4 linked regions of the Caenorhabditis elegans genome follow. The protein of the gene in region 1 interacts with the protein of each later gene in a pairwise test. Each region holds a gene or a part of one and is shown in the gene's direction. Other genes may lie near its edges. The genes, in order: src-1, ced-2, ehs-1 and ina-1.

What was found.
Region 2: the proteins of src-1 (region 1) and ced-2 interact in a two-hybrid assay, tested with the Caenorhabditis elegans proteins (one study listed by BioGRID).
Region 3: the proteins of src-1 (region 1) and ehs-1 interact in a two-hybrid assay, tested with the Caenorhabditis elegans proteins (2 studies listed by BioGRID, with this or other methods).
Region 4: the proteins of src-1 (region 1) and ina-1 interact in a two-hybrid assay, tested with the Caenorhabditis elegans proteins (one study listed by BioGRID).

The regions. Positions count from the first base shown.
Region 1 is NC_003279.8:1,564,665-1,571,435, forward strand, and holds the start of src-1 (Tyrosine protein-kinase src-1), read left to right. Parts: upstream 1-2,944; coding exon 2,945-3,021; intron 3,022-5,672; coding exon 5,673-6,017; intron 6,018-6,771. UniProt on the Caenorhabditis elegans protein: Non-receptor tyrosine-protein kinase which plays a role in endoderm development by controlling spindle orientation in EMS blastomere, probably downstream of receptor mes-1.
Region 2 is NC_003282.8:1,594,792-1,603,478, forward strand, and holds ced-2 (Cell death abnormality protein 2), read left to right. Parts: upstream 1-2,526; 5' UTR 2,527-2,528; coding exon 2,529-2,967; intron 2,968-5,386; coding exon 5,387-5,589; intron 5,590-6,380; coding exon 6,381-6,578; 3' UTR 6,579-6,830; downstream 6,831-8,687. Other genes in the region: npp-8 (Nucleoporin_N domain-containing protein), read right to left, coding at 376-577, 624-720, 780-1,014; putative histone-lysine N-methyltransferase set-23, read left to right, coding at 8,197-8,687. UniProt on the Caenorhabditis elegans protein: Required for cell migration and engulfment of cell corpses but not for programmed cell death/apoptosis. Has a role in the migration of the 2 gonadal distal tip cells (DTCs).
Region 3 is NC_003280.10:5,818,391-5,825,507, forward strand, and holds ehs-1 (Eps15 (endocytosis protein) Homologous Sequence), read left to right. Parts: upstream 1-2,321; 5' UTR 2,322-2,329; coding exon 2,330-2,392; intron 2,393-2,439; coding exon 2,440-2,620; intron 2,621-2,703; coding exon 2,704-2,816; intron 2,817-2,862; coding exon 2,863-2,994; intron 2,995-3,108; coding exon 3,109-3,818; intron 3,819-3,871; coding exon 3,872-4,788; intron 4,789-4,886; coding exon 4,887-5,088; exon of another isoform or gene 5,089-5,135; coding exon 5,136-5,208; 3' UTR 5,209-5,472; downstream 5,473-7,117. Other genes in the region: ZK1248.4 (MSP domain-containing protein), read left to right, coding at 208-441; tbc-2 (PH domain-containing protein), read right to left, coding at 5,696-5,716, 5,767-5,909, 5,961-6,477, 6,526-6,992, 7,044-7,117.
Region 4 is NC_003281.10:9,166,412-9,175,217, reverse strand, and holds ina-1 (Integrin alpha ina-1), read left to right. Parts: upstream 1-2,415; 5' UTR 2,416-2,480; coding exon 2,481-2,635; intron 2,636-2,834; coding exon 2,835-2,945; intron 2,946-3,012; coding exon 3,013-3,166; intron 3,167-3,275; coding exon 3,276-3,461; intron 3,462-3,583; coding exon 3,584-4,845; intron 4,846-4,959; coding exon 4,960-5,142; intron 5,143-5,285; coding exon 5,286-6,207; intron 6,208-6,262; coding exon 6,263-6,521; intron 6,522-6,669; coding exon 6,670-6,857; 3' UTR 6,858-7,145; downstream 7,146-8,806. Other genes in the region: dgk-3 (putative diacylglycerol kinase 3), read right to left, coding at 7,191-7,258, 7,310-7,410, 7,556-7,650, 7,693-7,899, 7,944-8,099, 8,189-8,806. UniProt on the Caenorhabditis elegans protein: Plays a role in cell migration, axon fasciculation, and morphogenesis. During gonad morphogenesis, involved in distal tip cell (DTC)-mediated guidance of gonad elongation, in maintaining their sharp tapering morphology and in their migration.

The DNA.
Region 1 (6,771 bases):
TCTGACACAACGTGGGTGTTTCAAATTGCCAGCATTATTTCGGTTATTACTCTGAAGTGAGAGCTCCGCGGAGCTCCGATAAATCCAAAATTTCCGTTTTCTGCGTTGTTTCAAGTTTTTTTTGGAATTTGCCATATTCTATTCCACTTCGGCACTTTCCAGTATTTGTAGCCGGGGGTCGGCGGCAAATCGGCAAATTGTCGGAATTGAAAATTTCCGGCAAATCGGCAAATTGCCGGAATTGAAAATTTCCGGCAAATCGGCAAATTGCCGGAATTGAAAATTTCCGGCAAATCGACAAATTGCCGAAATTGGAAATTTCCGGCAAATCGGCAAATTGCCGGAATTGAAAATTTCCGGAAAATCGACAAATTGCCGAAATTGAAATCTTCCGGCAAATCGGCAAATTGCCGGAAGACAATCCCTTCAGAAAAATCCGGTAAACTGCCGGAATTGAAAATTTCCGGCAATTTCGGCAAATCGGCAATTTCCTGAAGTTCTCAAACGGCAAAATTCCCATTTTTCTGGAAAATCTATCCGTTTTCTCATGAACTTTTCAAACGAGAAAAAAAAAACGGAAACCTTCCATTTTCTCACATTCCATTTCTCCCTTCTCCTCAACTCTTACACACATTTTTTTCCACTTTTTCTTCTCTAATCCTCTTGTCATTTACACTATTTCGCCCTCCCGTTTAACACTATCATTTTTTTTTTCAAAAAACAAAATTATCTTTGTGTGACTCACACAATTTTTTCTTAGAAATTAAATTTGTTTTAAAGATTTTTACAAAAATTTGTCACAATTTTCAGATTTTCGTGTTTTTTAAAAAGAAAATCGGAAAAAAAAAGTGGATTTTAAATAGAAAAATTAACAAAAAAAAACCGAAAAATATCGATTTTGATCCGAATCAGAAAAAATAGTTTTTTTAAAGGAGGTGCAGTCGAATTTTTTTGAAAATTTCTTTGCTAGCCTCAAAATTGTCTGAAAACACCGAATTTCATAGTGAAACTTCTTGAAAACTTCTCCAAATACCGTATTTCCTCTATTAGTTAGGCACCTCCATTAGTTTTGCATCTAAAATCACTAATCGAAAATTAGTTTTGCACCCCCTCAATTTGTTCCCTATGTTTAGGAATTCAACATTTGCATTATAAAATCGTTCTAAAAATTAGGAAAACTCTTACAGACTTGGTATGACAAGTCAAAATTGACAAAATATGAGTACAATTCGGACAATTTTTGCGTATCAGTCGTAAAATTCGTAAATTTTCGATCATAAGTTGTTATTGAAATTGATCATAACTTAATGGAAAACATGAGAAAAAACCTGTTCGAAAATTAGTTTTGCATCAAATTAGGTGTCCGAAAATTAGTTTTGCATGCCTTACTAATAGAGGAAATACGGTAAAAGTTATGGCGGCTCAAAAAATGGCCGACATTTTTTTAAATTTTTTATCCAAATTTCGCCGTCCATCGACTTTATAATACCTAAATGAAGTTGAAAACGCAGGATAATTACATTGTATACTCAAAATTTGACGGTGAATTCAAAAAAGTTAATTTCCAGCCGCTTGACAAGTCGGTCAAATTTCAAAATTTAACTTATCTTAGGCCATTTTTTGAGCCGCCATAACTTTTACCGTATTTCCTCTATTAGTAAGGCATGCAAAACTAATTTTCGGACACCTAATTTGATGCAAAACTAATTTTCGAACAGGTTTTTTCTCATGTTTTCCATTAAGTTATGATCAATTTCAATAACAACTTATGATCGAAAATTTACGAATTTTACGACTGATACGCAAAAATTGTCCGAATTGTACTCATATTTTGTCAATTTTGACTTGTCATACCAAGTCTGTAAGAGTTTTCCTAATTTTTAGAACGATTTTATTATGCAAATTTTGAATTCCTAAACATAGGGAACAAATTGAGGGGGTGCAAAACTAATAGAGGAAATACGGTATTTGGAGAAGTTTTCAAGAAGTTTCATTATGAAATTCGATGTTTTCAGACAATTTTGAGTATATTAAAGAAATTTAAAAAAAAATTCAACTACACCACCTTTAAATACAAAAATACTGATTCTGTTGGGAAAATATTGTAAATTTCTTCAAAAAATTGATAATTTTCGCGTTTTTTCTGAATAAATTCCAAGCGTCAGAGTTTATTTAAAACATATTTACTACCCCTCCATTTTCACTTTTTCCTCTAAAATCTCGTTTTTTTAAAATCAAATTCCCGCCAAAATTTCCTCATTTTCAGAAAAAAAACCTCGAAAATAAGAAGAAGAAGCAACCATTCCATATGCATGCTCAATAATTGTTGTTTGCACAAAAATACTGGTGTCTTGTGTGAGTTTTTTTGGAAAATTCAGAAAATTTTCACTGAAAATTACAAAACCTGACAATTTTTGAATTTCGCGACGATTCAAGTATTTCACATGGTGTCAGAGTGTCACATTTCGGCTTGATCTACGTTGATCTACAAAAAATGCGGGAAAACGGGACGCTGACTTCTCATCTGATTTTGTATGGTTAAGACCGTCCTGACGTCACATTTTTTGGGCAAAAAATTGCCGCATTTTTTGTAGATCAAACCGTGATGGGACAGGCTGGCACCACGTGATATTTGCAAATTGTAAATTTTAATATATATTAAAATTAACAAATTTTTTGAAATTTGTTTGAAAATTCTGCTTGTACAGTCTTTTTTTGCAGTTTTCCAGTTGTGGAAATGTCAAAAAAAAATTAAATTGACAGAGATTTTTCAGTTAAAAAAATTTAAAAAAAAAAAACGAAAAAATTCACAAACAATTTTTCGACAAACCGGCAAATTGCCGAAAATGAAAATTTCCGGCAAACCGGCAATTTGCTGATTTGCCGAACGAACGAGGCAACCCCAGTAACATTTTCCTGAAATAATTTTTTTTCAGAATAAATAATGGGTTGCCTGTTTTCAAAAGAGCGGCGATCGGGAGGCAGTGATATGGGTGTTTCCGAACGGATAGATGTCTCCAGGTAACTATTTTATAGAGAAATGTATTATTTTTTTGGAGACAATCAACTTTTTTTTTAGATAAAAAGTGCAAAAATTAAATACAGATTTGAAAAAAAACCGATTTTCCGGTTTGGTTTAATTTTTGGTAAAAATTTGAAATTATTGATTTTTAGTTAAAAATTAGAAATCATTGATTTTTCGATAAAAAATCATAAATTATTGACTTTTCAATTAAAATAGGAAATTTAGCTATTCTAAATCTACATAAAGCATGATATTTTATGCATTTACATGGTGGTGAGCGGAAATCCCCCGTTTTGCCGGAACTTTTCAATTCCGAAAATTTGCCCGTTTCACATTTCGATAATTCGGCAGTGATCAACAGTTGTTAGATTTTCGGCATTTTCTCAGCAAGTAAGTGCCCGATCCCAACAAATTCCGGCAATTTGACATTACTGAGTTCCAAAGAATTTTGAAAAAAAAAACGAGATCCCTACTGTAGTAAATGTTTTTATTAGAAATTTTTTTTTCTGGAATTTTTTAATCGAGACTGAACTCTTTTACAATTTCGAGTGTATTTTTTTGGAAAAAATGTATAGAATTTAAAAATGTATCATTTTCTCTGTCCCGTCTTTTTTTATAGAAAGTTTGCTTTATTTTTAGGCTATTTTTAGGCCAATGTTGTTTTCTAAGCCTAAAAATGAAAATAGTATTAAGATGAACATGTGCATTAAAATTGAAATATTGAATGTTTAAAATTATTTAGTGCTCACTTTTTCCGAAAAAAAAAATATATAAATAGAATAATCTCAGAAGAAAAACTATGGCATCATTTTTGCCCAATTAGATGCCAACGATGTCTTTAAAAAATTATATATATATATATATATATATATCTTTTTTTTTAAAAACATTTAAAGACATCTATTTGGGCAAAAATGATGCCATAGTTTTTCTTCTGAGATTATTCTATTTATATATATTTTTTTTCGGAAAAAGTGAGCACTAAATAATTTTAAACATTCAATATTTCAATTTTAATGCACATGAGAATGTTCATATATGTACTTCCTTTTCTATAAAAAAAATTTGATTGTTTGCCCACCTAAAAATGCACTAACAACGCGTCAATTCGCGTATTATATTTTTTTTAAAGGTGGAGTAGCGCCAGTGGGGAAATTGCTTTTAAACATGCCTATGATACCACAATGACCGAATATCATGGTTAAAAAATTCAAAAAAAAATTTCTAAATTTTATATGATTTTTTGAAAATTGAAAAAATCTCAGTTTTGCCTAATTTTTTGTTTTGCCTAGATTTGTTCGGTGGAGCGCGCTTGCACGCTTTTATTTTTATTTATTGTTATTTTTTTATATTTTCCACCGATTTTCAATGTTTTCAGTGTATTTTTGTCTGAAATTTGAAGAAAAAGTCAAAATAAATGCAAATGTTCGATTAAAAAGCATTTAAACGACGATTTCGAAACCTGAATTAATTAATTTCAAAGATTTACGCTTGTGAAGTAGCTTTTTAATCAAAAATTAGCATTTATTTCGACTTTTTCTTCAAATTTCAGACAAAAATACACTGAAAACATGGAAAATCGGTGGAAAATATAAAAAAAAAAACAATGAATAAAAATAAAAAATGTGCAAGCGCGGCGCTCCACCGAACAAATCCAATTGGGGGTAATTCAAAATTCAAATAGGAATTATTAGGCAAAAATCTTTTTTTTACCATTTTTTAATTTTCAAAAAATCATATAAAATTTTTTTGAATTTTTTTATCATGGTATTCGGACATTGTGACCCCATCACTGCAACTTTTTCCTCACGAGAGACAAGGAAAAGTGGTTTCTAGGCCATGGCCGAGGGGCCGACAAGTTTCAGCGGCCATTTATCTTGCTTTGTTTTCCGCCTATTTTCTTTCGTTTTTCATCGATTTTTTTCGTTTTTTCTTAATAAAACTGATAAATAAATATTTTTTGCAGATGCTAAAACAATTTCCAAGTAAAAAAATCATGTATTCAGTGGGCAAGCAGCGGTGAAAGTAGTCGATGTAATATGATGGATTACGGGAATACAAAACCTAAACTTTTTCTGAAACATGATACATATGATGCTTAGATGCTTAAATTACCTGATTTTCATAACGAGACCGCTGAAAAAGTTTTGAGGTTTTCAAAATTCAATTGTTTTTGGTGAAAAAGTAGAGATTTTCGCACAAAATGTTGAATTTTAAAAATCTCTAAACTTTTTCAGCGGTCTCGTTATGAAAATCAGGTAGTCTCAGCATTTAAGCAGCATATGTATCATGTTTCAGAAAACGTTTAGGTTTTGTATTCCCGTAATCCATCATATTACATCGACCACTTTCACCGCTGCTTGCCCACTGAATACATGATTTTTTTTACTTGGAAATTGTTTTAGCATCTGCAAAAAATATTTATTTATCAGTTTTATTAAGAAAAAACGAAAAAAATCGATGAAAAACGAAAGAAAACAGGCGGAAAACAAAGCAAGATAAATGGCCGCTGAAACTTGTCGGCCCCTCGGCCATGGCCTAGAAACCACTTTTCCTCGTCCCTCGTGAGGAAAAAGTTGCAGTGGCTACTCCACCTTTAATTATTTTTCCATTTTTTTTCCGTACACTTCCCCCATTACCCAAAAAGATATCCACGCAGATTCCAAACGCCCCAACAACAGACAGTATTCCACGTGAATAACGGTGGAAACGAGGGAACCATCTCTCAACTAAACGGAACATCAGACGGAATGATGGGAAATGGACGTGGTGGTGGTGGTGGAGGAGGAGCACAGGAACGTGAGACTCTGGTCGCCCTCTATCCATACGATTCACGTGCCGACGGGGATCTTAGCTTTCAAAAAGGCGATGCTATGTACCTATTGGATCATTCGAATTGTGATTGGTGGTATGTTCGACACCAACGAACCGGACAGACTGGTTATGTGCCGAGGAATTTTGTTGCCAAGCAACAGACTATTGAGAGTGAAGAGTGAGTTGCATTGTTTTTTTTTGTGGTTTGAAGTATTATATAAGTGAAATTTTGCAAGAATATCAACAAAAAAAAGAGCACAGATTAAGAGCACTAAACCTCTATTAAATTAATTAGTCTGAAATAGAATAATTAAAGTGGACTATTTGTGAGAAGAGTTTTAAAGCAGAGGTGAGCGGATATTTTCTAATAATGAATTTATCAATAAGTATTGATGTAGTTATTCAGGAAGAAATGTATCCGAACCAAAGAGTAACTATTAAGCAACATTTTAATATGATAAAACCTAGAAAAATTCTACAAGTTTTCTGTATAAACGATATGCAAGTCCATTATCCGATATCCGTAATATCCGTAATATCCGATATCCGATGTTGCTCGGCGAATAAGTTTTAAGGTCTCGGTAAGGAAAACTTGTAGAATTTTTCTAAATTTTATCATATTAAAATGTTGCTTAATAGTTACTCTTTGGTTTGGATACATTTCTTCCAGAATAACTACATCAATACTTATTGATAAATTCATTATTAAGAAAATATCCGAAAAAATATCCGCCCACCTCTGTTTTAAAGGTGGTGTAGTCGAATTTTTTTTATTGCTTAATTAGACTCAAAATTGTCTGAAAACACCGAATTTCATAATGAAATTTCTCCAACTTCTCAAAAAAAAAAGTTATGACGGTTCAAAAAATGACCTAAAATTTGATAAAATTTGAAATTTGACCGACTTGTCAAGCGGCTGAAAACTATTTTTT
Region 2 (8,687 bases), on another chromosome or scaffold:
ACGACAAATTGTTCTAAAAAAAACGAATAAAAATTGAAGATTATCGAAATCCCCAATTTTTGGTTTGAAATGAGCATTTTTGATGTAAAATTGCTTTGAAGACTCAAAAAATTAGTCAGAAACTCGGATTTTCAAGTTTTCGAGTAGAAAAAAAAACAGAAAAGCGTTATCAGCAAATTTGAGCTAGAAATAGACGAAAAATCCCGTTGTTTAAATTTTTTTTGTCGATTTTTAAGTAAAAATCGCACGGAACATCGATTTTCCCGTGTTTTGAAGACTCAAAATCTCCAAACTTTTGCGATTTTTGATTCAAAAACTTGGGTTTTCTTGGTAATTCTTCCTTCTTTTTTCTCCATTTTCACTCGAATTTCGAACCTTGAAGCATCGTTTTGAGTCGATAGAAATGCTACTGGCGCCATTTTCCACGAAATCAAAGACCGGATAAAGACATATATCGGAAATTGTGCCGACAACGAGCCCATATTGAATTTCCGGCTCAAAAACGCCTGGCTTGATGTTCACCAGCGACACCTTCAGAATTGCAGCGTCTGATGAGTCGAAAAACGCCAAATCGTCGCTGAAAATTCGATTTTTTTTCGGTATTTTTCGGCTTTTCCGCTTACTTTGTCTCGTAATTCCACATATAGAGATTGTTATCAATGACGACCCAAACTCGGCTGATTTGTGTGAAGAATCCCATGCTAAACTCGCTGTGAATATCTGAAAATTCACCAATTTTTCGCTGAAAAACCCCCCCATCGGAAACAATGCTCTCTCACTGCTCATTTGCATTTGAAGCTCTCCGGGTATTGGGATTCGCCGTGTGCTCACAAACTCCGGCGCTCCCTTCACATAAAACTTCTCGCCGAGACCGGAGACGGGCGTCGTGCCGTGTTGTGTGAGGCGATCGAAGAAATCCGATGTCTCCATCATCTGCTCGACGTGGTGTGCCACCTTGTTCGCCGCCGCTTCTGCCGAGTCGGCCGAGCCCAACTCCATAAACGAGACACTCATCTCGGAGGATGGAAAGCTGCTGAAAAAGTCGGAAAATTTTGAGTGATTTTTGATATTTTAACCTTTAAACTTGAAAATTATAGCAAAAAACTGTAAAAAACCCGGAAAACTTCCCGCAAAACGCAACTTTTCGCGCAAAATTCCGAATTCAAATTGCAATGCGGCGCGGAAAAGTGGGCGGGGTCGCGTGTTGCAAGTCCCCCGCACACCTCATCGTGTACTCCTCTCGGACAAGCGCAACAGCTGACAATTTATTTTTGCGTGCAAAAAAAGTCGTTTGTTTGCAATTTCTCACCAGTTTTCGGAGATTTTCTTGATTTTTTGCGGTTGCGCATCGTAAAATACGTATTTAAAATGTGTAAACTTTGGCTCCAGTCGACAAGAAGCTTATGAGTCATTGCCTGGGAAAATTGCTCATCAATTTCCTCATTTTTACGAATAATTGGTGTTTCAATGCGTATAAAAACAAGAAATCGGTAAATTTAGTATGAAATATATTCGAAAATAAAGGTTTTAAGCGTATTTTTCAATTTTCTTCTACTAAAAACCGAACTTTAGCCTAAAAACCTGCTTATTCTGCTCGAAATTCTCGATTTCGCCATGTTTTCCAATTTTTTAACACAGTTTTTCAAAAAAATTCTTCATTTTTCCCATAATTTAGCCGAAAAACTCAACTATTTTGCCCTCTTTTTCCCTAAAACTCGCCATTTCCTACCAAAATTTGAAAATTTTCACTGTGTCCAATCGATTTTTCTTCCTAAAAGTACCATTTTCTCCAATGTTCATTTATTTTTCAGAAATTTTCACTAGAATTACTAGATTTTCTGTGCCAAAACCACGATTTTCAGCAATTTCTTTCTTTAAAATCTTATTTTTTGCCATTTTAAGGTACTTTTCCAACGAAATTCCTGATTTTTTGATTTTTCCACGCAAGTTTTGGCCGATTTTTAACTGATTTTCAGCATTTTTTCAGCCAAAAAAACATCCATTTTTGTTCATTTCCTGAATTTTTTAAATGGAAATTCCTTGATTTTCTTGGAAAATCACGCTAATTATTATTCAATTTCCAACTTTTTCATCCAATTTTCTGCCTATATTGACTCGTTTTCCTTTAAAAAATCGAATTTTCACCCGTTTTTTCACATTTTCAGCAATGTTTAGGTTGAAAATCATATTTTTATTCATTTTAAAATATTTTTTCCCACGAAATTCTTGATTTTTTTTTTGAAGATTTTTGCGTTTTCTTCTCAAAGATGGTGATTTTTGGCCGATTTTCATAAATTTTCGCTCTCAAAAACAAGATTTTAAGCATTTTTCAGCCGAAAAAACTTTCCCCTTTTATATAATTTTTCTTGATTTTTCGTCTTTTTTTTCTGGATTTTTAGGAATTTCTCGTGATTTTTGATGATTTTCCGTCTATTTGGGTTACGTTTTCCAGAAAATTTTCCCAACTTTGACCAATTTTGCGCGCCTAAAAATTCCACGTTTCTAAACAATTTCCCGCATTTTCAGAAATGACGACAAACGGGTTCGATCCATTCGAGTGGCGTTCATTCTACTTCCCAGGAATGAGCCGTGAAGAGGCTCACAAGTTGCTCGGCGAGCCACAAGTATCGATCGGCACCTTCCTAATGCGGGATAGCTCACGCCCCGGTGAATATTCACTGACAGTACGTGAAGCCGACGAGGGAAATGCCGTTTGTCATTATTTGATTGAAAGAGGAGAACCGAAAGAAGATGGAACTGCTGCAGCTGGCGTGAAAATCGCGAATCAGTCGTTTCCAGACATTCCGGCGTTGTTGAATCATTTTAAAATGCGAGTTTTGACTGAGGCAAGCCTGCTGGCCGCCTACAAGAAGCCTATCATTGAGGTTGTCGTCGGAACATTCAAATTCACAGGGGAACGAGAGACAGATCTTCCGTTTGAGCAAGGAGAGCGGCTCGAGATTCTTTGTGAGCTTTAAAGCAGCACTTTTTTGATTAAAGGTGGACTAAACCCTGTGGGGAACTTGCTTTATTGAAATTTAAATTTGCCCATCGAAAACGTCAAAAATTAACTAAAAATCTCAATTTTTCGGCGATTTTAATTGAGAAATGGCTTGAGAAAGTGGTAAAATTTGGCAAAACTTGGTTTTTAATAGTTTTTTTTTTGCATTTGGCTTCAATTTCCCCGAATTTTCAGATTTTTTAATCGAAAAAGTGCTCTTAAAGCTCACAAAGAATCTCGAGCCGCTAAATCAGTGGATTTTTCGGGGATTTCACGAGAAAATTGACATTTCTAGTAGTTTAAATGGCATTTTCCGAACCTTTGTTCTTTCTTCTCTAAGAAGTGCTCGAGATTCCAGAAATTGATTTTTTTTCCAGAAAAAACGTTATAATTGTGAGGAAATCGACATTTTTTCTTGCATTTGGCACTATTTTCTCCGAATTTTTAGATTTTTTAAAGGCGGACCCAGTGGGGAAATTGCTTTAAAACACGCCTATGGGGCCACAATGACAGAATATCATGATTAAAAAATTCAAAAAAATTTCCCTGATTTTATATGATTTTTTGAAAATTGAAAAAAAATCTCAGTTTTCACCTAATTATTTTTGAATTTCCGCCAATTGGATTTTTTCAATGGAGCGCGCTTGCATTATTTTCATTAATTTTCAAAATTTTATTTCTTCTCATTATTGGACTGATTTTCTTCATTTTTTGGAGTTTTTCATCGGAAAATGGAAGAGAAATAAACAAGAAAAATGCAAATTGTTTGTTAAAAATTAACTGAAATTTTCTAAAACTGTGATTTCTTGAGTTCTGACAACGACAAGCCTGAAATTAGTATATTTTACAGTTTTACGCATTTTCAGTTACTTTTAAAAAATCATTTTGCATTTTTCTTGTTGTTTTCTTCGATTTTCCGATGAAAAACCACAAAAAATGAAGAAAATCAGTCCAATAATGAGAAGAAATAGAATTAATTAATGAAAATAATGCAAGCGCGCTCCAACGAACGAGTTCAATTGGCGGAAATTCAAATAGGAATTAGGTGAAAACTGAGATTTTTTCAATTTTCAAAAAATCATTTAAAATCATAAAAAAAAATTTTGAATTTTTTAATCATGATATTCTGTCATTGTGACCCCATAGGCGTGTTTTAAAGCAATTTCCCCACTGAGCGTAGTCCACCTTTAAATAATCTAAAAATACGGAGAAAATAGTGCCAAATGCAAGAAAAAATGTCGATTTCCTCACAATTATAACGTTTTTTTCTGGAAAAAAAATCAATTTCTGGAATCTCGAGCACTTCTTAGAGAAGAAAGACCAAAGGTTCGGAAAATGCCATTTAAACTACGAGAAATGAGTTTTCTCGTGAAATCCCCGAAAATCCACTGATTTAGCGGCTCGAGATTCTTTGTGAGCTTTAAGAGCACTTTTTCGATTAAAAAATCTGAAAATTCGGGGAAATTGAAGCCAAATGCAAAAAAAAAACTATTAAAAACCAAGTTTTGCCAAATTTTACCACTTTCTCAAGCCATTTCTCAATTAAAATCGCCGAAAAATCGAGATTTTTAGTTAATTTTTGACGTTTTCGATGGGCAAATTTAAATTTCCGATTGTTACCATGTTAGTGAGAAAATGAGCAATTTTCAGTAAATTTCCACCCATTTTCTCCTGTTTTTATTGGAAAATGGTAAATTTTGACTGTTTTTCAAGAAAACCAGAAACTTTTGGTAAATTTCCACATTTTTTTAATCCAAAAAGCCGCAAAAATGTTAAAAATTTACGTTTTTCAATGGAAAAATGCGATTTTCTACAAAATTCGCCTAATTTTAACCCGGTTTAGTAGAAAAATGCGAAATTCAGTGCATTATGACTATTTTCCTAATGAAAACAAGAAATTTCAGTCATTTTTACTATTTTCAACTGGAAAATGGAAAGTTTCTGCGAATTTCGACTGTTTTTCACGAAAAAACAACAAAATTCGATCAATTTTGCCATTTTTTCACGAAAAAAACTTTTATTTTATGAAAAAATTCAAAAACCCGGACTCATCGTTGTGAGACCCTGTCCACCCACCCCACTGCGCCTTTAAACTTGTGTCGATTTACGCGGTGTTTTTTTTTGGAGAAACTCTATTTTCGGACGAATTTAAACTGTTTTTAAGGCAATTTTTCACTTAAAACCGCAAAATTATCTGAAAAATAAAATTATAAACGAATTTTATAATGGAAATACGAAATTTTACCTGTAAAAACCATAAAATTTGAAAAAAAAACCGTGTTTTTTGATTTTCTCCCGTTTTTCTCAAGATTTTGTGCATTTTCCAAGTTTTTTTCGGTAATTTTCCTCGAAAATACTAGATTTTTAATAATTTTTTTTTTCCAGCAAAAACGAACCAGGATTGGTGGGAGGCGAGAAACGCGTTGGGAACCACTGGATTAGTGCCGGCAAACTATGTACAAATTCAGATGGAATTTCACAATGACAGAACCTCAAAAGGCGCCAGTCAATCGTCGATCGGAAGCAGCGGAGGTGGCGCCGAACGATTTTCGAGCGCCAGCACGAGCAGTGATAATATTGAGCTCCAGGTGTGGAAAATTGCCGGAAAAATCCACAAATTTCAGATTTTTTGCTGAAAAATTGCGTTTTTTAGTCAATTTTTGACATTTTTCGATGGGAAAATTTCGAATTTCGAGACGATTTTCCTTGTAAATTACAGAATTTTAATGGGAAAGTTGGATCTGAAATTTCTCTTTAAAAATTTGCTCAATTTTTACCGTTTTTAGTGAAAATTCGGTCATATTTTGAAATTTTCACTGAAAAAAAAATGGAAATTTCAGTCAATTTTTAACATTTCTAGTGGAAAAATCGAAAATTTCCTAATATTTCGACCATATTCCAAGAATAAACGAAGCATTTCAGGCAACTTTGACATTTTTTCACGGAAAACACCAATTTTTAGATTTTTCTATTGGAAAATGCGAAATTTCAGTCAATTTCCATCTTTCTAATGAATATTCAATGATTTTTTATTAATTCTAGTTGGAAAATGTCAAATTTCAGTGAATTTCGGCTGTTTTTGTCAAAAAAAAACGAATAATTTCGATCAATTTTGACCTTTTTACTTAAAAAAACTTTTTTTTTTTCTCAAAAAATTTAAAAATCCGGCTCATCGCTGCGAGACCCTTCCACCAACCCTACTGCGCCTTTAAACTTGTGTCGATTTACGCGGTGTTTTTTTTCGGAGAAACTCTATTTTCAGGCCGTTTTCAAGTTATTTTCCACCTAAAATCTGCAAAATTAACTGAAAAATGAAATTATTAACGATTTTTATCATGAAAAACATCTCCTAAACCGAAAAAAAAATTCAATATTTCAGCCCCGTCTGCCAGCAAAAGCCAAAGTGACGTTCGATCGTGTCCCAAACGCCTACGATCCGACCCAATTGCGTGTGAAAAAGGGGCAAACAGTGCTTGTAACTCAGAAAATGTCCAACGGAATGTACAAAGCGGAACTCGACGGCCAAATTGGCTCGGTGCCTCATACATACCTCAGATTCACCGCCGTCAGCGAATAAAATCGTTTTTTTTTTCTAAATTTTTAACCTTGAAATTTATTGATTCGCTTGCCCCTCCACCAGTTTTCCTCTAATACATTACAGCTTTACCATAGAAAAAAATCGTTTTTTTTTCCAAATTATATTTATAATGATATCATGCACAATTTTCGTTGCCTTTTCCGCCCACCGAACCCCAATTCGTGTCCATTCCATTTTGTTCACTTTTCCCTTTCAACCTGCCGGATGATTAATAAACCGTTTTAATTATGATTTTTTCGAATTTTTGTTGGAAAATGAGGTGCTATAGAGCCTCTGAGAGTACTTTTTAAGAAAAAAATGTCATAATTTTGGAGTTTTTTTCAAAGTTTTGAAAATTTACTTGAAGATTTCCAGCAAATTGCAAAAAAATCCGATTTTTCGACGTATTTTGGTGAATTTTCGGCCTTTTTTTTTCGAATTTTCTCTGAAATTGCAATAAATTCTGGTTTTTCAGGCTAAAAAACGGTCAATTTTTTCTATTTTCAACTGGAAAATGGAAAGTTTCTCTGAACTTCGACTGTTTTTCACGAAAAAACAACAAATTTTGATCAAATTTGCCATTTTTTCACGAAAAAAACTTTTATTTTATGAAAAATTCAAATACCCCGGGCCATCGTTGCGAGACCCTTTCACTCTCCATACTGCGCCTTTAAACTTGTGTCGATTTACGCGGTGTTTTTTTTTTGGAGAAACTCTGTTTTCTGTCGAATTTAAACCTTTTTCAAGCTATTTTTCACTTAAAAACGGGAAAATTAACTGAAAAATTAAATTATAAACGATTTTTAACGGTTTAGTGCAGTTTTTTAAAATAAAATTTCAGAAAATTTAGATTTTAAAGCCACATTATCGAATTTTGCCGATTTTTTCTCAGATTTCTATTGAAAACCCGCCGTTTCCTCTTAAAGCTGAAAGATTTTCCCCAAATTTGAACCATTTTCTCGCAGATTTCGCCTAGAAATTCGAATTTTTGGGGCAAAAAATATAATTTTCCGAATTTCGTCTGAGATCCCGCCTAGAAATGTGAAAAATTTGATTTTTTTTTTTGGATTTCAGTAGAAAAATGTTAAAAACTGGATTTTCTCCCGAATTTCGATAATTTTGTTACAGATTCCGCCTAAAAATGTGATAAATTCCGAATTTTTTCACTAAAATTCTTAATTTTTTAGAAATTCAGATAATTTATAGTTTTTTTTTCAGAGTTTTGAACAATTTTCTTCAAGATTTCCATTCAATTGCAAGAAAAAAATCCGATTTTGTATGAAAAAATCACAAAAAAAATTTGAAAGCTCGGCGTATTTTTCTCGATTTTTCTTTGAAATTGCTATAAATTCTTGTGAATTTTTTAGTTAAAAACGGTTTTTGTGAAAAAAAAAACCAACATTTTTTCGCAGATTTCGCCTAGAAATTCGAATTTTTGAGGCAAAAAAAATTACAATTTTCCGAATTTCGTCTGAGATTCCGCCTAAAAATGCGAAAAAATCCGGATTTTTTTCGTGGAAAAATGTTGAAAAATGGATTTTCTCTCGAATTTCGACAATTTTCTGATAGTTTTTTGTTTTTCCGCCTAAAAACTTACAAAAATTTCAAATTTCAGATAATGAATTATGAGAAAATTGATAGCACAATTCCCGGGCCAGGAATCTCTGAAACCGACTGGAATGACGTATTCGAAGGATGTAACTGCGAGGCTGAGTGCTCTTCAGCCGCCGGTTGCTCGTGTCTAATCAATAAAATCGATAATTACACTGTCGATGGAAAAATCAATAAATCATCGGAGCTTCTAATCGAGTGCTCCGATCAATGTGCCTGCATACTGCTCCCAACTTCATGTAGGAATCGAGTTGTGCAATGTGGACCACAGAAAAAGCTGGAAATTTTCAGCACTTGTGAGATGGCAAAAGGATTCGGAGTTCGAGCCGGCGAGCAGATAGCCGCCGGCGAATTTGTGTGCGAATACGCTGGGGAATGTATTGGCGAGCAAGAAGTTGAACGGAGATGTCGAGAATTCCGAGGAGACGATAATTATACGCTTACGTTGAAGGAGTTTTTCGGTGGAAAACCCGTGAAAACGTTCGTAGACCCGCGCCT
Region 3 (7,117 bases), on another chromosome or scaffold:
CGTTTGCCAAAAAATATAGTACTATGTATAATTTTCTGAAATTCTAGAAATTCCGCCCAGTCGGGGCGCAACGGAAAACTGGACAATTTACATTGTAAGGGGTCATAAATTAATGAAAATTTCTAAAAACGATTAATTTTATTTTTATTTTCAAAAATATGATAAAATGTAAAAGTTCATTAAAAACGTCAAGACCAAACCACCAACATGAAGAGACTTGGAGTTGATCCACCATGTGGAGTTCTCGACCCAAAGGAAGCTGTGCTGTTGGCTGTTTCGTGTGATGCATTCGCATTTGGACAGGAAGACACCAACAACGACCGTATCACCGTCGAATGGACTAACACTCCGGATGGAGCTGCCAAGCAGTTCCGCCGCGAGTGGTTCCAGGGAGATGGTATGGTTCGCCGCAAGAATCTGCCAATCGAATACAACCCATAGGTTCCTTGTAAAATAAATATTGTTTAATGCCTGTGTTGTTTCTTTCTGTAAATTGAATATATATACACTTGTCGCTTATCCTCTAGATCAGCTGGCTTCGTCGCTTCGTTGTTTCTACAGATATTTCTTGCAAGAATCTTCCGATCGAATACAACCCATAGAACTTCTAAATAATTTTTTTCCTGATTCACTGGTTGCTGATTTTATAATTTGAAAAATAATATTGTCTACCATGTTTCCAAATTTCAAAATATGATATTGTGATATACGAACTTTCTTTGAATACTTTGTTACAGAACTTCCTCGCATGTATCATTTTGAGAAGAAGTTGTATGTTCGAGAGCCGTTTCTAGAGAACTAACAGAACGAATTTTTTAGATTTCAGAATTATCAACAAGATCATATGCAATGCCTTGAATTCATAGATAAGAGATGATGAAAGATGGAGCTGACTGCATTTGAAAGAACTTTCATTTTATCTATCTAACAATCTAACAATTATTAATAAACAATTATTCATTTTCATTGTTGTGTTTATCATTCGATTACTCGGAAAACATTTTTATTGCTCAAAATATATATTTTTCTAGCTAACTGGAGTAGTTTCAAAATTGCCATTCGGTTCAGGATAGGCGGTTTCAGGCTTACTTTTGTTTAATTAGTCCCAGGTCTTCGAAACTCAATGTTTTATTGTGTCCTGTGTTTCCCTTGATTTTCACTAAATTAATTCTGGGGACATGAGAAGGTAATCTTGGAAAATTGAAATAAACTACAGTACTCCTCAAAGACACGATTTTAAATTCAAAAAAATCAGTCGTGTCGAGACCCGGTACCGTATTTTGGGTGTTAAAATCGGAAAATTTCGCCAATGGGGATACGATAATTTGAGTTTTATATTCAAATTAGATGTATGATATAGGAAAACATTCCACTAACGGGTGTATTTGATTTATTTTGCTTGTATTTACAAATAATATATTTCGAATGCTCGCCTGTTTCTTGATATTGTCCTCGTGTTGTTCACGGCCGAAGTTTTTCACAATTATCAATAGAGCGCTTCTGAAAACTCGTCCGCGACAGTGAAAATTTTAATTTTCAGAATTAATTGTTTTTAATTTAACGATTTTAATTAATTCTCTCATTTACTGTTGCAAGATTTTTTAATGCTATCTGTTGAATATTTAATTTTATCACTATTTTCAATAATTACGATGTAGACGCTTTATTTGCAATATATATTGCAAACAATATTACAATATATATTGCAAACAATATTGCATTATACGCAGATTATTTTCTCCCGTTTTGACAGAATAAAATTAACTTGACAATGTGTGTGTAAACACAGTGACGACAAACTGCGACAATGAGTCATTCAGGTTTAGTCTTTTGCGAATTAGTTTATTTATAATAATTATATATTATAGGGTTATTGGGATATTTTTTTATCTCACCGTTAATGAAAAATGTTAAATATATTCCTGTTTCAAAAATTGGCTACAATTTAAATCAATATATTTGTTTTGTAATCATTATCATAGAGGGCCGGGACTCTTCCCACTGAAACTCAATACTTTTGCATATTTCACATTCTCTTCCTCCGTTGGTTCACCAAAAGAGAAAAGGGACCGACATGAAAAGGAAACGAAAGCTTAAAAGAGACGGAAAATCGATGTACTAGAGTGCTCGGAAGTAGTTGAGAGGCGCAGAGAGAGAGCTTTCATTCAGAAGACACACGACGTTATTCCTCGCAACGCCTTCTTCTTTTTAACAATCTTCAATACATTTTAGTGAACTTTCTTTTATTTCTGTTTCATTTAAAAATAGTCTTAAATTTCACTATATTTAATTTTTTTCTTTTATTATCTGGAATGTTTCAGCTTTCAACATGGATGATTCATACGCGATAGCTACACCGCACAATGATGTTTTTAATCACGCATTCGCAGAGGTAAATATTTAACAATTTGTAATACGTTAACAATTGTTATATTCCAGATGAACCCTCACGGAGCACCAAGAATAGGAGCTGCAGAAGCAGCTACTTTCCTTAAAAAATCAAACTTGGCGATGCCTGTGTTAGGCCAGATATGGGAGCTTAGCGACTCTCAAAAAGTTGGATCATTAGATAAGAGAGGAGCATTTGTTGCTTTTAAACTAGTCGCAGCTGCTCAACAAGGTAACTTTTATTACCTATTTGGAATCATATTTTGTTGAAAATACGATATGCTCAAAAGTAACCTTAACAGCAAAATATTTCAGGGAAGCCCGTCGCCAATTCTTCCCTCTACGATTCTTCCCTTCAGCCACCACGGTTTGCACCACCTGTACCACCAGCAAACATGCAGCATCATTTCCAACCATCGTTCCCATCGGTTTGACTGAAAAGTGGTTCCTCTATTTCTAAGTGTTATTATTCAGGTTGGCCGTGCTCCTCCAGTGCCACCACCACCACATCCATCACATCCTTATTCGATCTCTTCTCAACAATCTTCTCCAGCTCATCCATCGTCAGCTTTTCCACCACAATGGCCGATAACACCAACTGACCAGGTAGCAAAAACTGAGAATTAAAAACTTTTAAAAAATCTTTCTATTGGCACGAATAGAGAATTGACAGTTATTTTCCTTTACAGATTTGATCAAATATTCTTGTAATTATTTCAGGCTAAATATGACTCCATCTTCCAATCATTGAATCCTGTAAACGGAAAATTGTCTGGTGCACACGTACGCCCGGTTCTGATGAACTCTGGACTTGATGCTCATGCTCTGGCTCGAATTTGGGAACTTTCGGATCAGGACAAAGATGGAAACCTTGATCGAATCGAAATGTCTGTTGCACTTCATCTTGTATACCGATCACTTCAATCAGACCCGGTTCCTGCACAGCTCCCACCAAATCTCATTCATCCTTCGAAAGCAATGTATGCTCACAGCTCACCGAATTTCGCTGCTCCTCCACATCCTCCACGTCCGATGATGGGATCGAGAGCAGGATCTGTGACGTCATTGGATGATGTGAACATGAGTCAATCGTATTCTGCAACGATGCCACGTGCATATCCACCACAACCAGGTCGTGCTTACTCTGCACAGGCTCATGTGAATGGATCACGAACCAGTGGTGCATCAACTCCGATATCTGCTTCTCACTCGATTCACTCATTTCCTGCTGGTGAATGGCCTATCAATACAGGAGATTATGCTGATCAATTTGCTCAAACTGATACGAATAAGGATGGATTGGTTGATGGCATGGATATGAGAGCTCCCATGATGACTACTGGATTGAGTGCACAGATATTAGCACATGTCTGGGCATTAGCAGATATAAAAAAATGTGGACAGTTGAATTTGGAGCAATTTGCTTTGACGTAAGTCTTTCAAGTTTACCAAATATCTAGTGTAACTAAATATTAATTTTCAGAATGCATCTTCTTGACATGGCAAAACGAGGCGAGTCCATCCCATCAGAACTGCCTTTACATCTGATTCCACCTTCATTCCGCCCACCTACGGAACCTTCAGCTTTGCATCATCCTGCTCAATCAGTTTCAACTCCACAGCTCCCAGAAGCAACTTCGATGGAAATTAAAGAAGCTTTGGAAGGCGAAAACGAAGAGATGAAGCAGCTCGCAGAGTCTATTCAATCAATGCTGGTGGAGCGGAAAACTGCAGAAGAAGCTGTTTTACAACTAGAAGCTGATATGACTATTAAGAACTCGAGTATCAAAAATCTGCAGGTTGAATTGGCCACCTTGGAGTCGACAGTTAAACAGTTGGAGCGACAAAAAGGTGAAGCCACACGAAGATTAGCTGATTATGATACTCAAATAGAACAGTTAGAATCAGCATGTAAAGCACAGAAAGAAACGAAAGAAGATACCGAGAAACGAATGCAACAAATTGATGAAGATGCAAAGAATGCTGAGGACTGTAAAGCAAATGATGAAAAAGAAATGGAAGAATTGAAAAAAGAAATTGAAATGCTCGATAATCAATTCAAAACTGTTCGTGGAGAAATTGTCAAAGAAACATCACAAAGAGAGCAAAAGGTGGCCGAATTGACAACTCTAGAACGAAAAGAAGCAAGAGATCAGATACAAATGGAAAAGCTGGATGCTGCAATCGAGAACACGACAAAACTAACAGAACAAGTATCAGATGCAGTCGAAAAATCCGAGGAGGAAATGGTTCAAATTCTGAGGTCGCAACAACGATTATTGTCTACTGTAATCGATCAATCGTTGCTATCCGATGACACTGTTTATGGAGAAACAGCTGGAACATCATCTCAAAATCATGTTCAACAACCACCTGATCCGTTTGCATCCGCCAGAGCAAGTAGGTTTATATTTTTAAGAAACAAAAAGAGTTATGAAAACTTTTATTCTGACTTAAAGTTTTGAAATATGAATATATAACATAAATTCAATTTCCAGATCCTGCTGCTGATCCATTCGCCCAAGTAGATCAGTTCGGCTCATCTGGACATTTTGATGCCGCTTTCCCAACTGATCCATTTGCTCAAGGAGGCTTCCCATCGGATTCTGGCTTCGCACAATCGGCTCCCGCAAAACCTGCTCCACCTCGCCCAGCTCCTCCAAAATCTGCTCGCGAAACACCTGTCAATGATCCTTTTGCGTAAGTCTTAGTGAGTATCAATTTATTTAAAGTCTAAATAATTTCAGCCCATCACAAGGACAATCAACTCAACCGGCTGGATTCGCTGATTTTGCGGACTTTGGATCGGCTTTCAATTGATTTTTAATAATTATACCTTACCCACTATAAGCCCCAACGCCAGTCAAATTGTTTTACTTTGCCCAAATGTTTACCTGTGCCAAGTCATCGACATAATTTATTGATGCACATTTTTAAGATTAGTTTTTTTGCACTTTCCCACTTGAATTGTCACTTTTCTAGGTTATGAAATCAGAGCAATAATGTTATATACTGTAGAATATGAATATGCATGATTATTATGTAAATTATGAGTTATAATATATAGTAAATGATTTGCAGATTAATTTTATGTTGCGTATTTGATATTTTCAGTCTCATGTGTAAAAACGGAGCACAAGTAAACGGGTTGAAGGGGGGGAAGTAAACCGTAAAAGAAATTGATAAGGAAAAAGGAGAATCACAGAAGTTTGAAAATAATAGTGAAAAAGTTGTGTGAAGAAGACATAATTATGCTAGAAATCGAAAGAAAATACAGATTAGATGTACAAGAATGTTCGTGTCGGATTTACATACAGTGGCCAGTATCCTGAAAATAATAATCGCTATATTAGAATTTATTTATATATTACTGTTTACCTTCAATTGTGTCAAATAGAGTTGTCGTTTAGTTTCTATAGTCTTCTGAGGGAACGGATTCAGTTCGTTGAATGCCACTTGAGCTAGCGACTTGAAGTCAATGATATGTTCTTGAGCTTTGCTGAGACATTGATGAACTGTGCCTGAAAATTCTTGTTAAAAAACTAATAAATTTAAAGTTGTAAGTCACAAACCAATAGTTTTACATTGAAGAACGTGAGGTTCGCATATTTTGAAAAGTGCCAGTGCGAATCGAAAAAGAACCTTATTTCCTTCATAGAGGAATGCATCGAATATAGTCAGATAAATAGAATGCGGGAGTACATCTACAAAACACGTCAGGAACCAACTGAGCGCGAAAAGTGAAAGATCAACTTCAAGAGCTCTCAAATGTGCAGCCAATTTTGGAAGCTTTTCTGCTACAAGATCGCGGAGAACTTTCTGATCGGCAACCGCTCCGATCAGTGAGCTAGTGTAATATCCTTCAGGTTGGAGATGTTCCACACATGCTACAAGGAACCAGAACGAATCCTGCTCATCCAGGTTTAACAGAGCAATTGCAGCAAGACGATTGAGTCCTTGGCAGTAGCCGACGTGAGAGTTATGGTATCGGAAGGCGTAGAGTACGTTTCGTAGTTTTTCTATGTTAGCAGAATCTGGCTCGTCGAAAAGTTTATTCGTGGGCAGAGTTCGAGCGAGGTCAAGATCAATCTGAAAAAATAATATGAGAAACTCGAATTTAGAATAATATAAATATACCTGTTTGATGGCTGCATCGTAACTTCCATCCTGCTTCTTTGTTCCAGCCTTTCTGAGCATACTTTGATAGTATCCATTACCCAATTCTGCTTGCTTATCCTTCACCCAATGTGTCACAATTATCTTCCATACACGACCTCTGTAGGCAGGTGGTACTCCAGTTCGAATAAGAGTTTTTAGATCAGGTGAAGACATGATTGCAGTCTGCCGGGATACTGTATTGTTGACAAGGAACGCATCCCACGATTGTAACCATTTCATGTATTCTTCAGATTGTTCCAATTTCGTTGCTTCCACTACGTCTCCCGCTTTTTTCATGTAAAACGTGGCAGTATCCAAAAGATCATCGCTTTCAGAAAAATCATCCTTTTTATAGAATCCCAACTGATCCGTGAGGTTTTGCTGAGATTCTCGAGGTGTTCTTGCCGACTCTTCGAGTAATTCTTTCAACACACCAGGTTCCATTACTGTAGAGCAAAAGTGATTATATTATAACAGAAAATTGTTTAAAAACTCACTTTTTCCTGGTTTTGTCGGAGACTTAAAATGGTTTAGAACCATCAAATAACGGCTTTTTAATTGGTAATAGCAG
Region 4 (8,806 bases), on another chromosome or scaffold:
GTCACACTTCTTCCAATTTTCATATGCAGATTTTAGACGGGGGGCTTTTGCAATTTCTTTTTACGCAATTCCATTCCTTCTTTCCTTTTTCTCAGCTTTTTACTCAGTTTGTGTTCCATCTTTTTTTTGGAATTTTTCGGTCGCAGTTCAAATCAAAATCTAAACTCAATTTGGAATAGTCCTCATATTTTGAATTTTCATTCAAATTTTTTCGGAAAAATTCTCAAAAATTCTTTTGGTGACTTTGTCTGTCATATCCACTTGAATACCGCAATGGATACTGACATTTCAAGGTTGTATGAATGTCCTCTATATGTGTTGGATATAGATTCATATGTATGCATGTTTTGGTTTTTCATTGTTTCTTATTTCTGTATGCGTCACCTTTTTTTCATCTTTTGTATAATGTTGGAGATTATGCAAGCGATATATTATATAACAATTGTATACTGTGACGGAATTATAATGGATTTGAAAGCTAGCTTGACTATCAAGACTGTGAAGGTTGCGTAGAATTATTTTTTCAACGTTTCAAGAAATTTATGATAGAAACTACTGGCAATCTCTAATTTCCTGTCATTTCCAGCAATTTTCAAATCTACCTATATTTTGAAAATTTAACAAATTTCACCTTGTTTTCTATTATCCAGATAGTACTTTTTTGAAGAAAATCTTTCAAACCGGTGAGGTTTAAAATAGAAATTTTGAAATAAAATATCGAAATTTTCCATTCTGAATCGTGGTAACTTTCTGTACTCTCAAATAGTTTTAAGACGTTTTTCTCCAACAAATACTTGTTCTTCGAACGATATTCGAGCTTAAGACACAACGCTCCATATATATCTAGACTCCCCACTCCCATAAATTGAGAACCGCAGTACTGCTTTATAGTCTCGGAATTTCTGTTTTGTCTGGCGAATCGGAGGTTTTGTCTGGATGAGTTAATTGAAACATTCATCGTGCTCTTCTTCTCCGCTTCTTCTCTTCTTTTGCTCTTCCCGTCCGTCACTTGTATACTAAAAAGAGCAGAAAACGCAAGAGAGGCACACGTTTTGCTTCCATTCTTCGCACCCAATTGAATGCCTTCGCGTTGTGCTCTGAATCTTTTTTGCAAAAGAGGAGAAAGAGTGTTCACATATCTGATGAATTGAGAGTGAGCAGCGGGCTCCATTTTCACTTTTTTGCCGTTTCTAGCACCATATCTCTCCAGGGGATCGCGTATCAAAAATTCTCAGAGCGGTCTTTTGATGAAAAGCATCTAATTTGAAGTGGCCGGAAACTTATTCATTGGTTAGCTGGGAAAGTTTTCCTTTTTTTCGGAATTGTTCAGAATTAGAAAAAAAAATCTGAAACTCAATAGCGAAATTTCTGATTAGTTCATACATCATTTCACCTAGGATTAAGCATACTTTCTACAAACCGAAAACCACGAATTTATTTACAACTAGCCTCTTCTTCTGTATTTGTAATTTTTATTTCAAATTTATCAGTAAAAATTTTGGAAGTATTCCAAATTTTTAATAAACTAATTCTTTTTTCCAGATTTGCAGCACTGCAATTTTCAATTACAGATAATTTAAACATGAGTAAAATGAAAATTTATAGACAAAATCTTTTTTCTGTTGAGTTCCAAAAACTTTTTGACTATAGAAATTGCAAAATTATTTTTTAGAATTTTTTACTGTGGTGTTTGTTCATTGTGCATTAAAATAATTCTACACAGTTTCCAGTAATGCAAGTGCAGTTTCCAAAAAAATTCATGAAAAATTTACTGATCTGAACAATCAATTGATAATATACTAAAAATGTACATGTGTTGGCATTTTGTCTCATAGTCTATTCCTCTCTTTCAATATAATTCTCTATCATGCCCATCAATTTAATGTGTTCCCCTCGCCGTGTCGTCTGTGATCGTTACATTTTTTCCATATCATATCAAGGTCTTTCATCCTTCTAGTTCCCAATTTCACGATTGACCAACAGTTACGGGGTCAACAAGGCGGACTTTCTTTACCAAAAAGTTCTAAAAGTGCATCTTATGAATTTTTGAGAAGATGGCTCTGCACTTTCTGACAGATGCACACCACCTGCGTCTCCAATTTCATTTCGACCTTCTTGATTTCAATTCTATCAATTCAGTTGATATGAGTCACACCGTGTGATTCATCATTATATAAACCCCCGCAAAAACAATTAATATAAGTTTTTTCCCGTTGATCTGAAAATGAAAACACCTCTGGTGTGTAATATTTTTCAGATTCTTCTTTTCGGCTTTTGCTCCATTTGCTTTCATGTTTTACGATTTTTTGGAAAATTTTTCTCTAAAAAAATCTGGATTTTGAACTTTCCCTCTTTCAGCTGTCTTCTTGATTTTGTCCATTTCAAAATTCAACTTTCTAATTCCCAAATTTTCAGTCATTATTCCTCGAACGTACATGAGCAACAACTAACAGAACGAGAGAAAGCTCACCCGCCGAAACATGCGTGAATGTATAATTAGCTGGACACTACTCCTATGTCTCAGCTGTGTCAAATCGTTTAATCTCGATGTGAATGCTCCGATCTACAGGTATGGTCCCAGTGGGACCAACTTTGGATATTCCGTTGCTGAACATTTCAAAGGGGATAAGCCTGTGTAAGTAGATTTTTTTTTTAATTTCATCACAAAAAACAGTAAAGCTTGAGCAAAAGTTACTCAGCTTATGTTAAGGCTTAAATTTAGGTTTAGCCTTATGATTAGGCCTAGTCTCAGGCTTCCTGCTAAAGTTTTGCCCAAGCGTGATAGTTTTAGTTTTTGATGAAAACAGCGATTAACGCGTTCTTTCAAATTTCAGAATGCTGATCGGAGCTCCACGTGGCGAGTCTGGGCAAACGGGTACCGAACGAGCGGGTGCAATGTACGCGTGTGATATTAACACATTTTATAATGGTGGATCAAATCACTGGTGAGTACACATTTGAAAGAATGAGAGATATGAGGGAACGACTGATGATTGATGAGAATGAATTCAGGTGTGAACAGGTGCGATTTGAGTATGAAAACGTTGAGGATTATGCGAAACGACCCAACGAAACACGTGGCAGAACGGTGCATCCATTGGGAAAGAATGATCAGTTGTTGGCCTCAACGATTGTTTCGAAAGGAACAAAGAATGGTAGTGCTTTGGTGAGTAAAAAACTTTAATTTTCTGTGTTTAAAACCTTGGGATTTTGGCCTCTGGTGCTCCTTGCGTACTCACAGTACTCTTTATGCTTTCTGAATCAAGTATTTATAGGTGTGTGCTCCATTAATACGTTACCATCAAACTGCTGCATATCCACAAGGAGCTTGCTATGAACTTGAATCGAACCTTCGTCTTCAATCAACATACGCAACTTGTGCTCAAAAGAATCTTCCAACAACAGATCGTCACAACGAGTATGGAGGATGTATGGAAGGATTTTCAGCAGCAATTACTCAGGTAATTTTCATTCAACAAATAGAATGAAATCACTGAAGTTTAGTTTTGTGTTAATTTTAAAAAGATATTTTGATGAATATTTTTGAGTCGAAAGCATTTTTTAAATATTGCTAAAATTTTAGGATACCATCGTGACCGGACTCATTGGAGCTGTAAAATGGACTGGTGGTGTTTTTGCAAAGAAATCGTCAGCAAACATTTTCGATTCAGTCGTTGAAAAATACACAATGAATCAACCAAATGGAGATATGATTCGTACACGATTAGTTGCACATGATTATCTTGGATATTCTGTAGATATTGGAAGATTCGGTTTTTGGTATGAAGATGGAAAACCGATAACCGTAGTCTCAGGAGCTACAAGATACGGAGAACATGGAGCTGTAATATTCCTCCCGTTTATTCAAGATTCAAGTTCAAAACTTACTCTGAATGAAGACAAATTTATTATTAATGGAACTGCAATGGGATCTGCATTTGGGTATTCGATTGAAGTTGTTGACTTGAATGGAGATGGATTTGATGATCTAATTGTTGGAGCACCATTTGAACATCGATCTGGAATTGATGGAAACTTTGGAGGAATCGTCTATGTTTACTTTTCTCAAGGAGTTCAGAGAAAACAACATGAATCTCATCTAGTCTTCCACCCACCAAAGATTCTAAAGAATCCAGATTTCTACTCACAATTTGGACTTTCAATTACTAAATTGGGAAATGTAGACGGAGATAAAAGTAAACTCAACGACTTTGCAGTTGGTGCTCCATTTGCATTTGATGGAGCTGGAGCAGTTTATATTTATCTTGGAACTAAAAACATTGAAAAGTTCCGAAAGAAACCGGCTCAAGTGATAAAAGGAAATGATCTTCCAAATCTTCCGCCAGGTGGAATGAGATCATTTGGATTCTCACTTTCTGGAGGTTCTGATATGGATGAGAATGGATATCCCGATCTTCTCATTGGATCTCCTTCGAAGAATTTTGTTGCATTGCTTCGTTCTAGACCAGTAATAAGTATTGAGACCAAGCACAAAATGGAGAAGAGAATGGTTGATATCGACAAAGGTGTCAATTGTCCACGTGGAGCAAAGACTTGTTTCCCGCTTGATATGGTGATCTATGTGGATGAGGAAACAAAGAGAGGCGCCGAACTTGTCGATTTCTCATCTGATGTATTTATGTGTAATCTGGAAGCTATTCCATTTAGAGCTGACACAACGGCAAGAGGATTCATTGAAGGAAGTCATTCACACAATTATAGTTGGCCATGTGGAAGTAATAGTCACGTACAGAAACGAACTTACCGGCAGCTAATCTATTTGCCAGTTCAAGAATCAAAAGATTGGATTACACCTTTGAAGTTTAGATTTACTGTCAGCATTCGGTAGGTCAAGTTGTCTCGAAATCCCTTGAAAAAGTTGTTTCCTAAATTGTATTGTTAGACTCAAAACTCAAAAACCATGATATCATAATCAGAACTCAAATTCTCACATTTCAGAAACGAAAAGAAGCCTGTGCAACCACCACAAGGAAGCCAATTGGTCGACTTGAAGCACTACCCAGTCCTCAACAAATATGGTGCATCATATGAGTTTGATGTTCCATTCAATACGCTTTGCGGAGAAGATCACACTTGTCAGACTGATTTGTCATTGAAAGCCGCCTTCAAGGATATTCCACTGTAAGACTTTAAGATATTTTAGCGCTCAGAACTTGTGAGACAGCACTGTATTTACACCGAAAGTTTTTTAGAATATAGTAATCAAACTTCTTTTTTAAAATTCCAAATCAAAAGTCAACCCCACGTATGTTTTTTGCTTTCAGAACATCAAATGGATACGTTTCAAATGTCGGCGAAAAGGATTATCTGGACTTGACATTCACTGTGGAAAACAAGAAAGAAAAGGCTTATCAAGCGAATTTTTATCTAGAATATAATGAAGAAGAGCTTGAACTTCCACAAGTTCAAGGTTCCAAGAGAATGATTGCTGAAACAATTGGAAAGAATATTGTGCATTTGCCACTTGGAAATCCAATGAATGGAGCATCAAAACATCAATTTACGATCCAATTCAAATTGACTCGTGGAAGAACTGAAGGAATTGGAAAGGCACTCAAATTCATGGCACATGTCAATTCCACGTCACAAGAAACCGAGGAAGAGTTGAAAGATAATAAATGGGAAGCTGAAGTTCAGATTATCAAGAAGGCAGAGCTGGAGATCTATGGAATCAGTGACCCTGATAGAGTATTCTTTGGAGGAAAAGCAAGAGCAGAGTCTGAATTGGAATTGGAAGAAGATATTGGAACAATGGTTAGACATAACTATACAATTATTAATCATGGTCCATGGACTGTTCGAAATGTGGAAGCACACATTTCTTGGCCTTATCAACTCCGTTCTAGGTTTGGAAGAGGAAAGAATGCTCTCTATCTATTGGATGTACCGACTATTACAACAGAATTCACAGATGGAACAAGTGAAGTTAGAAAGTGTTTCATCAAACAACAGTACGAATATGTGAATCCTGCAGAAATTAAATTGAACACTAAATATAGTACTCAAGAGACTGCTCCACATCGGGTAGAGCATAGAATGAAAAGAGAAATTGATGAGGATGAGGAAGAACAATCAGATGATCTAGGAGCCGTGGAAGAGAATATTCCTTGGTTCTCAACAGCTAATTTCTGGAATCTTTTTGCAATTAAAGGAGGTGATGGACGACCTAGAGAAGTTAAACATTTGGTAAGTCCCTAGATTACAGTTTATTTGATTGATTTTTGATAAATGAATATTTCAGAGCTGCCAAGACAACACTGCCAATTGTTTCACCGTCATTTGCCACTTCGATTTCATCGATGCCAATTCTGCAGTAGTCATTGATTTACGTGCAAGACTCTGGAATGCAACGTTCATTGAGGATTATTCAGATGTTGAAAGTGTGAAGATCCGATCGTTCGGAAAACTTCAATTAGACGAATCACAAGGAATTGATGACGATCCGAATAACAATGCAGCTTTCGTTGAAACATCTGCTGATCCTGATAGGCCTACAATTGGTGGGTTTTTTGAAATGAGACCAACTTTAATATCTAATCATTTTAAAGTGATATACTAGTACGAATGTATTCATAAAAAATCATTGTTGAGGATATTCTAGCTTTAAAAGACATGCTCAAACCCCCAACTTTACCTTAATTTTTTCAGGAGACTCTCGACCTATCCCGTGGTGGATATACGTCATTGCAGCTGTTATTGGTGTTCTCATTTTGTCACTAATTATAATTTGTCTTTCAAAATGTGGTTTCTTCAAACGAAATCGTTTGGATCAGCCATCATTATACACTGCTCAACTCAAACATGAACGAGAAGAATGGGCTGATACGGGACTTTAGATGCCTCTTTATTTCTTTTTTCGACTGGATCTCTGTGATGTTTTATTCACTTTGTTTGTTTCCATTTATGTGATACCATTTTCCTGTTTTGTTCCCTCAATGATTTTCCTCCCAACTTCACTTTAAACATTTAAGTTTTTTTTAAATATTTAAATGTATGACATTTTTCAAATCTTGTAGTCAAGTTTATTGAAACCATCTTGACAAATATTTCACCGGTGCCATTTTCATGTTTTTTGTCAAACAAAAAGTGCTATAATTATTAATAAATTATTTTCAATTCCCTCATTCAAATTATAGAAATTGTGTATATAAATGAAATTTTTTAAAAAATCAGTTATCGTCATTTGTGGACTGTCGTTTGAGAAGCATCCAGGAGCTTCGTTTTCGTGGAGCTGCAGCTGTGAATAAAAAGAAATTAATCGACAACTCGAGGATATGACGAAACTCACCAACAAGCATTTTTGCTTGGTTTTTGTGTGTGATTTGAATGATGCAAGGAGGTTGCATCCATGGTTCCCCGTCAATTTGCATGGGAAATGATTTGTGTGTTCTGGAAATGAACAAAATTTTTGTTAAAGTAACGGCATTACAGAAAACCATTTGAAAGTATCAGAATTACTCAAAAATTGATTTTTTTTTTCAAATTCAACGATGTCCTAGTTATATTCCCACATTAATTCCATTTAAAAACTAACTGAATCACAACAGTTGAACATTGAGAAAGCCGTCTTGCTCCACGTACACCCGCTTTAATCTGTCCCATTTGCATTGCTGACTCCAATCCAACTAACTGAAACTTTTGGTTTGTTTTTGGAAGGATTTCATCTTAAACCTCAATGAGACCATCTCCAATATCTTGAACTCTTGTCTGTAATTGCATTTTCTCGGCATTTTTCATTGGGAACAGCCCAGGCATTCTTCCTTTAGATTTTCGACTCCTTCCCCATAAATTAGATCCTCCGTAAATTGATGGAATATTCAAAAGAGCAATTCCTTCAAGTGATGCATCTTGTCCAAGATCGATTGATTCTCCATCGCACTGAAAATTGGAAGTATTTTACTATAATATTTTTAAGAACTTACCAAAATATCAATTTGCTCGTGTAAGTTCTTGCAAGAACTTGATAGGGTCTCACTTGTACCTAACTCAAAGTACCACAACTTGTTTCGCATCCGGCTATTGAACTTTTCAGGAAACTTTTCTCTCATCACATGGAATCGGTGAGCAATTGAGGCGTCCTGAAATTTTTTTTGTATTTTTTTATGTTCAAATTTAGGTTTTTGGTAAGATTATTTAGTTTTTCAATAAAATATTTAAAATAACTCACCACTCCAATAGAAAAATAATTATTAATGATACTGTATGGTGGTGTATCTCCTTTTTCACTTGCTCTTCTTGCACTTTTATTCTCTGTTATTTCTATTTTAATCTGCCATCGATCCATATCAATTAGACTTGATTTTTCAATTTGTTCCAATATTTTATGCAAATTCTCATTTTCATATCCACCACCCCATCGAAGACATCTTGCCAAATCATTTCCAGTTCCCAATGGTAAAACTGCGACGGGTGGTCTTCCATGTGGAAATGTCATTTTATCCATTGATTCCAATACCCATCCAATTGTTCCATCACCTCCACATACCAAAATGTTACAGTTTTTCAAAGTGGAAAATAATTGAAGTCCTGGTTCAGGGCCAGTTTTACTCAAATCATAGACCTGTCTTGGATTGAGAAGATATTCAAATTTCTGTAGAATCTTGACTCCTTGTTTCCCACCACTTTTCGGATTGACAAGAACTAGGAGAGGACGACAATCATTGCTAGGAGATACGGCCTGAAGGAGACTGGCACTGTGGGAGCTGAAGTTGTGATTTTTCAGCGATGTTGAAGTTTTACGTTCCAGAAATGCAGGAAATATATGCGTTGGTGGGAGAATATGGTG